Canis lupus familiaris: one gene and its partner. The protein of the gene in region 2 purifies or fractionates together with the protein of the main gene of each other region. This does not show direct contact. Links are inferred from orthologs where the notes say so. Each region holds a gene or a part of one and is shown on either strand. Other genes may lie near its edges.

Region 1 (4,486 bases), on a different chromosome or scaffold from region 2:
AATTGGAGGCATACAGCATCATGGTTTGATTTACATATATTGTGACCATTTAAGTTATCCAGTATTCTCATTTAAGCCACCTTTTCTGTGTGTGTATTTTTAGAGAGTCTTTTGGAAATGAATTAAAAGTCTTTGACCTCTTCAATCTGTTGACAAGCTCTTCTTGAGAAGACGGAGATATCTCCAGATAACCAGCATGTTTTCTCTTAGGAACAAACCTCAGAGCCTCTTCCCAACTACCAGTGTTTTTCAGGCATAACAAAATACGCATCATTTGATCTAAGGTGAGATTTTTGGTACCAGTATCCCACTGTAAATATCTATCTAATGGAAGGCATTCTGTTGCCAGCTTCAGCCGTTTTGCTTTGGCTAGGGATATGCCTTTCTGCGTTCCTTTATCAACAAAAGACCCCACCACGTAAATTTTATCATGCTTGAAAGTAGTCATAACATTGGGAGAATCTGCAGTTAAATATATAATACTATCCTTTGGGAATAAATCTATGTAAGACTTTTCTGTTGTTGTTAAAAGCAATTTACTCCATTTTTCTTCATAACGTCTAACTAACTCTTTATGATAAACACCACCTACTTGAAGGTTGCAGAAATAAATATGGAAAGGATCGACATCTCTTCTGTTCCATCCTTCAGATTCTAAAAGTTGGCAAACAGTATTCCGAAGTTCTTTTGGTTTCATATAGTTACCATAATCCATGTCAAAAACCAAAGGCTGCCCGAATTGCATGGCCTGAGCACCTTTCCAGCCCATAGCAGTGTCCATATTCCTATCCCAAAGTCGTAGAAATAGAAAGTTTTGCTGTTTATCTTCCTTAGTGGTTTCTAGCAGCTGGTCTTTTATTGCTTTTTCCTTTGTTGCTGCTTTCAATTCCTTTTTTGTTTGCCTAGCTTTTTTTGCTTTTTCCTTGATATATAAATATCTTAAGTATTTTTTCTTTGATGATTTAGAAACACATTCCATGGCAGTTTTGAGTTCTTCTTCACTGATGTGTTCTGGTACTTCTCTGCCAAGCAATCTCCACATCTCAATTAACTCCTTCATGGCAACTACAGGATCTTCATCTTTGCTACCTGAGTCAGCTGAAACATCTTGCACACTAGATTTCATCGTAATTTTCCAACTATCCAATTCCAGCTTTTCAGGAGGTGATGTACTCTCCTTATTGGGATAGGACACAGCTGGTATCTTGGAAGACAAGTATCGTTGCAGAACTCCTGAACATAAAACCCTTCTCTTCCTAGGAATGGTAAATGGCACCAAAAATCTGGCCAAAGATCTTAAGATGATACTACCATTCATTTTGAGGAAAACAGACATGTAAGACCCCTATAAAAGAAGCAAAATGTAATGCAAAGTTAGATAAAGATGTTTAAAACCTGTCAACTAATTGTGCAAGTATAAATTTGAGACCCCCAAAAAGCAACTGATTTTTGAAACACAAAGTAAGCTCAACGTTATTTGCTATTCCATTAATTTTTCCTAGACTCCTGTGGCCTAGAGCCTGTAATCACTCACCAGGCTAAAAGTTTAACTTATTTGGGTTATTTTAGACATGAATTTCACTATTGCTTCAGGGAAAAGAATACCTTGAAGATCTTTTTTAGATTTGTATTTAGGGGCCCAGGATAACAGTATTTCTGGGTAACAAAGTAATGTACTGCTGAAAGGGGGAGATCATGACACTGTATTCTTCTCCATTCTATACTGAGTCCGGATACAGACCCAAACACAAGATCCTTAACATAAGCAACACGTCAAGACAAGAAGACGAAGGGCAGAAAAGCTAAAGAGGATGGCATCTACTGAAAAAAACCCTTAGGAGCTGCTTTATTAATGCTCTTATGTTTTCAAAAAAGAAACAGAGGAAGACCTACTTATTCAAAAACAAAATAGAAGTGCGTGGGTGCCTCGGTCTATTAAGCGGCTGCCTTGGGTTCGGATCAGCAATTTGGAAAGGGAAGGGAAAGAGAGTATCTTTTTTTTTTTTTTTTAAGATTTTATTTATTTGTTCATGAGAGGCAGAAACACAGGCAGAGGCCAAAGCAGACTCCCTGCAAGGAGCCTGATGTGGGACTCGATCCCAAGACCCTGGGATCACAACCTGAGCCGAAGGCAGATGCTGAGCCACCCAGGCGTCCCGAGAGATTTTATTTTATTTTTTTTTAAGATTTATTTATTTATTTATTCAGAGAGAGAGAGAGAAAGAGGCAGAGACACAGGCAGAGGGAGAAGCAGGCTCCAAGCAGGGAGTCGGATGTGGGACACGATCCAGGGTCTCCAGGATCACACCCCGGGCTGCAGGCGGCGCCAAACCGCTGCGCCACCGGGGCTGCCCTCCGAGAGATTTTAATATGTTGATTTGAAGTGTTTCTTGTGTTGAATGGTGACTGAAGCCATGGAGATAGATTAGACCTCACATGTAAAATTTTAGATTGGAAAAAAAAAAAAAAAAAAGAGGGCTACAGACAGGTATTCATCCATTTGCTGAAGCCAGAAACTGGGAGTCATTTTATTACCGCCCTCACACCCACCATATATAATCCAGCGGAATTATAGTCCCTTTATTTTCTAAGTACATCTTGACTCCAGTCACTTCTTTTGAATCCCATTATCTTAACTGCATCCTCTAGCGTCCAGATCTGCTCTGCCTCACCTCTAACCCATTTGGAGTTAGTGCAAATCTGATCAGTGCACTCATATCGTTCCCAGTGTGTATTTGAAATCCATGGCTGCCAGGCTACATTGCAAACTTGGCTCAAAGTTTTCCACAAAACTTCAGCTACATCTCTAGTTATTCCTCATCTCAAGCTTCGCTGCAAGCATCCCTCCTACTAGTTCTTACAGCACACTCGACCTCTCTATCATAGCGTTTGTGACGCTGTTTGGTCTTTGCCAGGCTACTTACTTGTCTGACGAGGTGGTACATGCTACCAGGACAAGGACTCTACTAACATTGAACTCAGTGCCTGGCAGTTTATGGCTGATAGGAATGACTTAAGTATTTTTCAAATAAATATCCTGGACCAATCGATTTCACATTTAAAACATGTTCCGTTATATTTTTTTAAAACAAAGTTTAGTTTTGGGGCAGGTGGCTGGCTCAGTTGGTAGAGCATGTGACTCTTGATCTTGGGGTCCTGAGTTCAAGTCCCACCTTGGATATACAGCTTATTTAAATATTCTTTTCTAGTTGCTTTTTTTTGTTTTGCCCCCCCCCCCTTTTTAAGACTTTATTTATTCATGGGGGGGGGGGGTGGGGGCAGAGGGAGAAGCAGGCTCCATGCAGGGAACCTGACGTGGGACTCGATCCCGGATCTCCAGGATCACGCCCTGGGCCGAAGGCAGGCGCTAAACCGCTGAGGCGTCCCTTTTTTTTTTTTTTTTAAAGTAATCTCTTCACCCAATGTGGACTCTCACTCAGGTCCCCGAGATCAAGAGTCGAGGCTTTTCAGACTGAGCCAGCGGGCGCCCCATGTTGACATCTTTCCAAAACAATTCAGGCTCCCTGAAATATTTAACGGGGAGTCCTCCGCCCCAATATGAGGAACACTGATTTCAGAAACAAAGTCCTTCGAGTTTTGTCTTTGTAACTCGCAAAGATTTTTTTTTTTTAGAAACGAATCCCAAAACGAATCCCAAAAAAAAAATTTTTTTTTTAATCATAGAAACGAATCCCAAATTTTAAAACAAACAAGGAAATCATTTACGGCAACAGGGCTCTTGTTCCAGGTCTCCTCCTCCTCGTTCCTGACCTCACTGGGCCTCCCCTCGCCTGCGGGCCTCCCGGGCGCACACGCGCCGCGGCGTTCCCGAGGGGGGCCCGGGTCCTCTCAGCTCAACACACACGACTAAGAGGACAGCAAACACGCGCATCCCTACCCGGAGTGCAGACACAGAGGCCCCGCTGCTGCCCGCCGCAGGGACCCCGGCGGGACGCGAGCTCCGCGGGGAAGCGCCGAGCGGGAACGCGCACCTCAGTCGCCGCTCCGCTCGGCGGCTCCGCTTCCGGACCTCAGGGGCCCCCGCCGCAGCCGGAAGTCCCGCCCCCTCTCCCCGGCGCTTCCCTATGACGTCGGCCGCTAGCCGACCGCCTTCCGGTCCTGACCGCCGCGCGGTCGTGGGGACCCTGGGCCCCGGGTTTGCGGCCGTGCCAGGGGCCTCTAACCCGCGTGTGCTCCTCGCTGGTTTTAACCTCTTACACCAACTCTTTAGAGAATTTCGCTTCCTCTTCACTTAACCTGCTCTCGCCGTGGTGAGAAAGTGCCCTCACGCAGTGCTAAGATAACGTCTTTACACGTGTCGCTCCTCGTCGGCTGCCTGATGCCAGGACTTTAACGCGGGGACCTCGGCGACCTGCTGCAGGGCTGGGACGTGAAGGCGGCACGGGATCCCTCTCGCTCCGCTGAGCTCACCTGTTAACTTTAACGTGAAAATGAAATTGAGTCACGTAGTGCCAATTAGTGGCCT
Region 2 (4,297 bases):
ATGGGGCTGAAAATATAGATAAAGATCTATGGCCTGAAGATATTGGTTTGGGGAAGAGTATAAAAGGAAGTCAGATTAGGTAGATTAGGTGGGCTCAAGATTCTTTTTTTTAAATTTTTTATTTATTTATGATAGTCATATCAGAGAGAGAGAGAGAGAGAGAGAGAGAGACAGGCAGAGACAGAAGCAGGCTCCATGCCCCGGGAGCCCGACATGGGATTCGATCCCGGGTCTCCAGGATCGCGCCCCGGGCCAAAGGCAGGCGCTAAACCGCTGCGCCACCCAGGGATCCCAAGAGTCTTTTTTTTTTTTTTAAGATTTTATTTATCTACTCATGAGAGACAGAGAGGCAGAGACATAGGCCTCAGAGGGAGAAGCAGGCTTGCTGCAGGAAGCCCAATGCAGAACTCTATCCCAGAACTCCGATCCCACAACTCCGGGATCACACCCTGAGCCGAAGGCGGTTGCTCAATCACTAAACCACCCAGGCATCCCTCAAGATTCTAATTGGGATGCTGGTTGAAAGATGTTCCAGGATGACCAAAGACCTGAAACTAAAGTGACAGTGTCTGGTTGAGGTCCAGTCAGCAACGTGTGATTAATGTGGGCTTTGGGATGTAAAATAGGTTTGACACAGGGGACAGTAGCAAAGGCTGAATTGATGAACAATGTTTTTGTTTCTCTGTTTATGCCTCTCTGGGCTTATGCGTCTCAACAGCTCTGTCTCAGAATGTCTGTCTCCCAGCTTCTCTGTCTCTTAGTGGTTCCCCATATCCATATCTGTGATCCTGTCTGGCATCTGTTTCTCTGATCTCTTCCTTAACATATTTCTCTTCAGTGGCTCTCAGAATCTCCATCTTTGGCTATCCGTGTCTGTCTCAGAATTTAGTTCTCTGCCCCTTCCTTTGTCTGTGTCTGTACTGTAATTACCTTTTTCCCCCAACTGAAGTGTGTCCTTCTGTAAAGCACGAACCTTTTAGTATTCCTCTTGGTATCGTCCCCAGGGACCCGCACAGAGCCTGGCATATAGGAGTCTCTCATATGTTTATGCTTGAATGAAGGCTTTTTCTGAGAGGTAAGGAAAACTCCCAATCTCCTGTCCGCCTACTTCCCGCAGAGCTGGCCGCCTGCCCAGAAACTAGGCTGACAGTCGGGCGGAGAGGGTGGTTGCCATTGTGCGGCTGCTACGGAGTTCTTACCCCAGGTGAAAGAACTCTGGAGGCACCTCGCCGAAGCCTCGCCCTCTGGGCTGCGGCGGCGAGCAGCCGACGCCACGCCCCGGAGTCTGGCGCAGCGGCCCGCCCCCTCGCCCGCCCCGCCACACGCCTCTGCGTCGGCCAATCTGCGCCTGCCCCACCGCCCTGCCCGCGGAGAGTTCGGAGCAAAATGGCTGCGGCCTGTCGGGGCGTGAAGGTAGTTGGGACTTCGCATCTACTGGCTGGTCCGCTGCGCCTGCTGGGACCACGCGGCCGTGGCTCTAGGGGGTAGAGATCGGTGCTGGGAGAAAGGATCACACTTGTCTAGGCCTGCTAGTGCGGCGGTTGGGCTCGGGAGGTGAAGGTCAACTCTCCTACGCATATGTGTGTGGGGTGACTGGATGGGCTGTCTGGGGATGAGACACCCAGAGGTCCTATTCTGAAGGAGAGGAAACACACCTGGGTCACCCCGGGGAGCCTCCGTTGCAGAAGCCTGGAGAACAAACAGGCAGATGAAAGGGTGGGGTTGGTCTGCATCGAGTACCGTTGACCGTTCCTTTCTTCACAGGGCCTGGTTGCTCTAGTAACCGGAGGAGCCTCTGGTTTAGGTCTGGCCACGGCAGAGCGACTGGTGGGGCAAGGGGCCACTGCTGTGCTTCTGGACCTGCCCAACTCTGATGGCGAGGTACAAGCCAAGAAGTTGGGGAAGAACTGCACCTTTGCCGCAGCTGATGTAAGTGTGAGCATGAGGTCACTGAAACTGGCCTGGGAACCCGTGGGGTCCCCTTCGGTAAGGGTCTGTGTGGACAGTGGACCCATCTCCTTGTCCCTTTTGGCCTGAGCCATCTGTCAAGCACTGTGGGAGCACCTGCAATAAGGAATGTACAAAGCCTGGAGCCACAGCAGTGGGGATGGGAATTGGATATATCAGAATCTCGCGGAGGGGGTATGTATAGTTTGAAAATGCATATTGTGCCCTATAATTTTGTATTTACAAAGTTGAAAATTTTTTTATGAGGCTACGGAAAGCAAGCTTGGTGAAATCATCTTGGAAAGTCGAGGTACAAAAAAAACCAGTTCATCATCATAATAATTCTTGAAACTGCTCTGGTCTACAGAAATCTCCAGGGGTATGTGAATTTATCGAAACAGGATATAGATTTGAAAAATGTGACACTGCTCTACAGTATCTCACATTTTCACTTTTGCCCCACTCTCATGTTTTCTTTTGGCCTCCTCCTTGCTTACAGAATTCTGTTGTTACTCAAAGACTGGACTTGCTCTCCCCTTGCCCAGGTTTAGTGGTGAGTGTGTGTGCTGGGAGATGAATACCTTCTCCACTTCTCCCTTTGAAGGTGACCTCAGAGAAGGACGTGCAAGCAGCCCTGACTCTAGCAAAAGAAAAGTTCGGCCGTGTGGATGTGGCAGTCAACTGTGCAGGTATTGCAGTGGCCATCAAGACATACAACTTAAAGAAGAATCAGGCCCATACCTTGGAGGACTTCCAGCGAGTTCTCAATGTAAGGCCTCTGAGGGCTGTAAGAGGTATTTGGCTGTGGGTGCCCCCAAAGATTTTAGGGGACAAATGGTCCTACACCATGTCTCTTCTGGTCTTTCAGGTGAATCTCTTAGGCACCTTCAATGTGATCCGCCTGGTAGCTGGTGAGATGGGCCAGAATGAACCAGACCAGGGAGGCCAACGTGGGGTCATCATCAACACTGCCAGCGTGGCTGCCTTTGAGGGCCAGGTGTGTGGGTAGGGGTTATGGCTTGTGCCTCTTTGGTGACTTGTTAGGGCCCTTCCATGTATGACCTCTACTCCTTCCCCAGGTTGGACAAGCTGCATACTCTGCTTCCAAAGGGGGCATAGTGGGCATGACCCTGCCCATTGCTCGGGATCTGGCTCCTGTGGGCATCCGAGTGATGACCATTGCTCCAGGTAGACATATTCCCTCCCTGCCACACCTGGTATAGGGTAGGTAGGATTCATGGGCAGTTGAGAGGACGGAAAGTATCTCCCGGCTAAGCAGCAGTAGCCTTCCATTTCTGGGCATCGGGAAGTACCCGATGGTAGAGCTAAAGTGAGAAGGGACCAGGGAAATAAGAAAGGAAGGATGAGCCTCTGACTCCGACTGTCTTGCCTAGGCCTATTTGGCACCCCGCTGCTGACCAGCCTCCCAGAAAAAGTGCGCAACTTCTTGGCCAGCCAAGTGCCCTTCCCCAACCGACTGGGTGATCCCGCTGAGTATGCTCATCTGGTACAAGCCATCATCGAGAATCCATTCATCAACGGAGAGGTCATCCGGCTGGATGGGGCCATCCGCATGCAGCCTTGAAGGCAAGGGGCAGAGAAAACATGTGCCCTTCTTTTCTTGCTTCCCTTGGAGTACTGTACTACAGCTTGGGAGGAAGTCCAGTAGCCATCTTGTAACTGCTCAACACTCTGTGCCTAATAAAGTCTCTCTTTCTCACAGGGAGTGGGTAACGCTGTGTGCTGGGGAAACTGGCATGGGGAAGTCAGGTGAATGGGTGAAGACTAACAGGGTCAGATGCAGGCCTAGGGGTTGGGTGGGAAAGGCAGCACCTCATACCTTTTGTGTCCCATTACAACACATGGCCTTGATGTTAGTAATAACTTTATTATCTAGGGCCAAAGGCAGGGATAGTGGGGGAATGGATTTGGGAAGGGAGTCTGCAGCCTCTTCCTCTCTGACTCCCAGCTTTCATGAGCTCAGTGAGGGAGAAGAGAATGATGGTCATTTGGAGCTCAGCGGCTGCTGGTGTTGAACTGCAGGTGATATTGGGTTGTAGGCTGATTGGTGTAGATTATGGAATTCAGATAATTCTGCCTGTGAAAGAAGTTCAGAGGCCTCTGATGCTGATGAACTTTTCCTCTCCCTCTGGCCCTTCCCATCCCTCCCTTGGCATTCATCCATGTCCCCCACCCCTAGAACTTACTGGGCTTTTTGCTCCATAGCCAGCTGCTGATTGAAAGACCCCAGACCCCTTCGAAATTCAGCACAAAGTTCCCTCTCCTGCTCTTCTAACTCCATTGCTGCCTGGGCTGAGTGCAAGGCCTGGTTTTCCCATTTGACATCCAG

What was found.
Region 1: the proteins of HSD17B10 (region 2) and TRMT10C purify together in Homo sapiens (co-immunoprecipitation; 3 studies listed by BioGRID and IntAct, counting the BioPlex papers as one, with this or other methods). This does not show direct contact. The link is inferred for Canis lupus familiaris from reciprocal best matches to the Homo sapiens genes HSD17B10 and TRMT10C.

What each region holds. Positions count from the first base shown.
Region 1 is NC_049254.1:8,357,986-8,362,471, reverse strand, and holds the start of TRMT10C (tRNA methyltransferase 10 homolog C), read right to left. Parts: upstream 2,860-4,486; 5' UTR 2,718-2,859; coding exon 2,673-2,717; intron 1,980-2,672; exon of another isoform or gene 1,346-1,979; coding exon 68-1,345; 3' UTR 1-67. UniProt on the Homo sapiens protein: Mitochondrial tRNA N(1)-methyltransferase involved in mitochondrial tRNA maturation. Component of mitochondrial ribonuclease P, a complex composed of TRMT10C/MRPP1, HSD17B10/MRPP2 and PRORP/MRPP3, which cleaves tRNA molecules in their 5'-ends.
Region 2 is NC_049260.1:45,501,881-45,506,177, reverse strand, and holds HSD17B10 (3-hydroxyacyl-CoA dehydrogenase type-2), read left to right. Parts: upstream 1-1,258; 5' UTR 1,259-1,386; coding exon 1,387-1,413; intron 1,414-1,764; coding exon 1,765-1,929; intron 1,930-2,551; coding exon 2,552-2,716; intron 2,717-2,815; coding exon 2,816-2,944; intron 2,945-3,026; coding exon 3,027-3,135; intron 3,136-3,341; coding exon 3,342-3,532; 3' UTR 3,533-3,669; downstream 3,670-4,297. Other genes in the region: RIBC1 (RIB43A-like with coiled-coils protein 1), read right to left, coding at 3,964-4,045, 4,155-4,297. UniProt on the Homo sapiens protein: Mitochondrial dehydrogenase involved in pathways of fatty acid, branched-chain amino acid and steroid metabolism. Acts as (S)-3-hydroxyacyl-CoA dehydrogenase in mitochondrial fatty acid beta-oxidation, a major degradation pathway of fatty acids.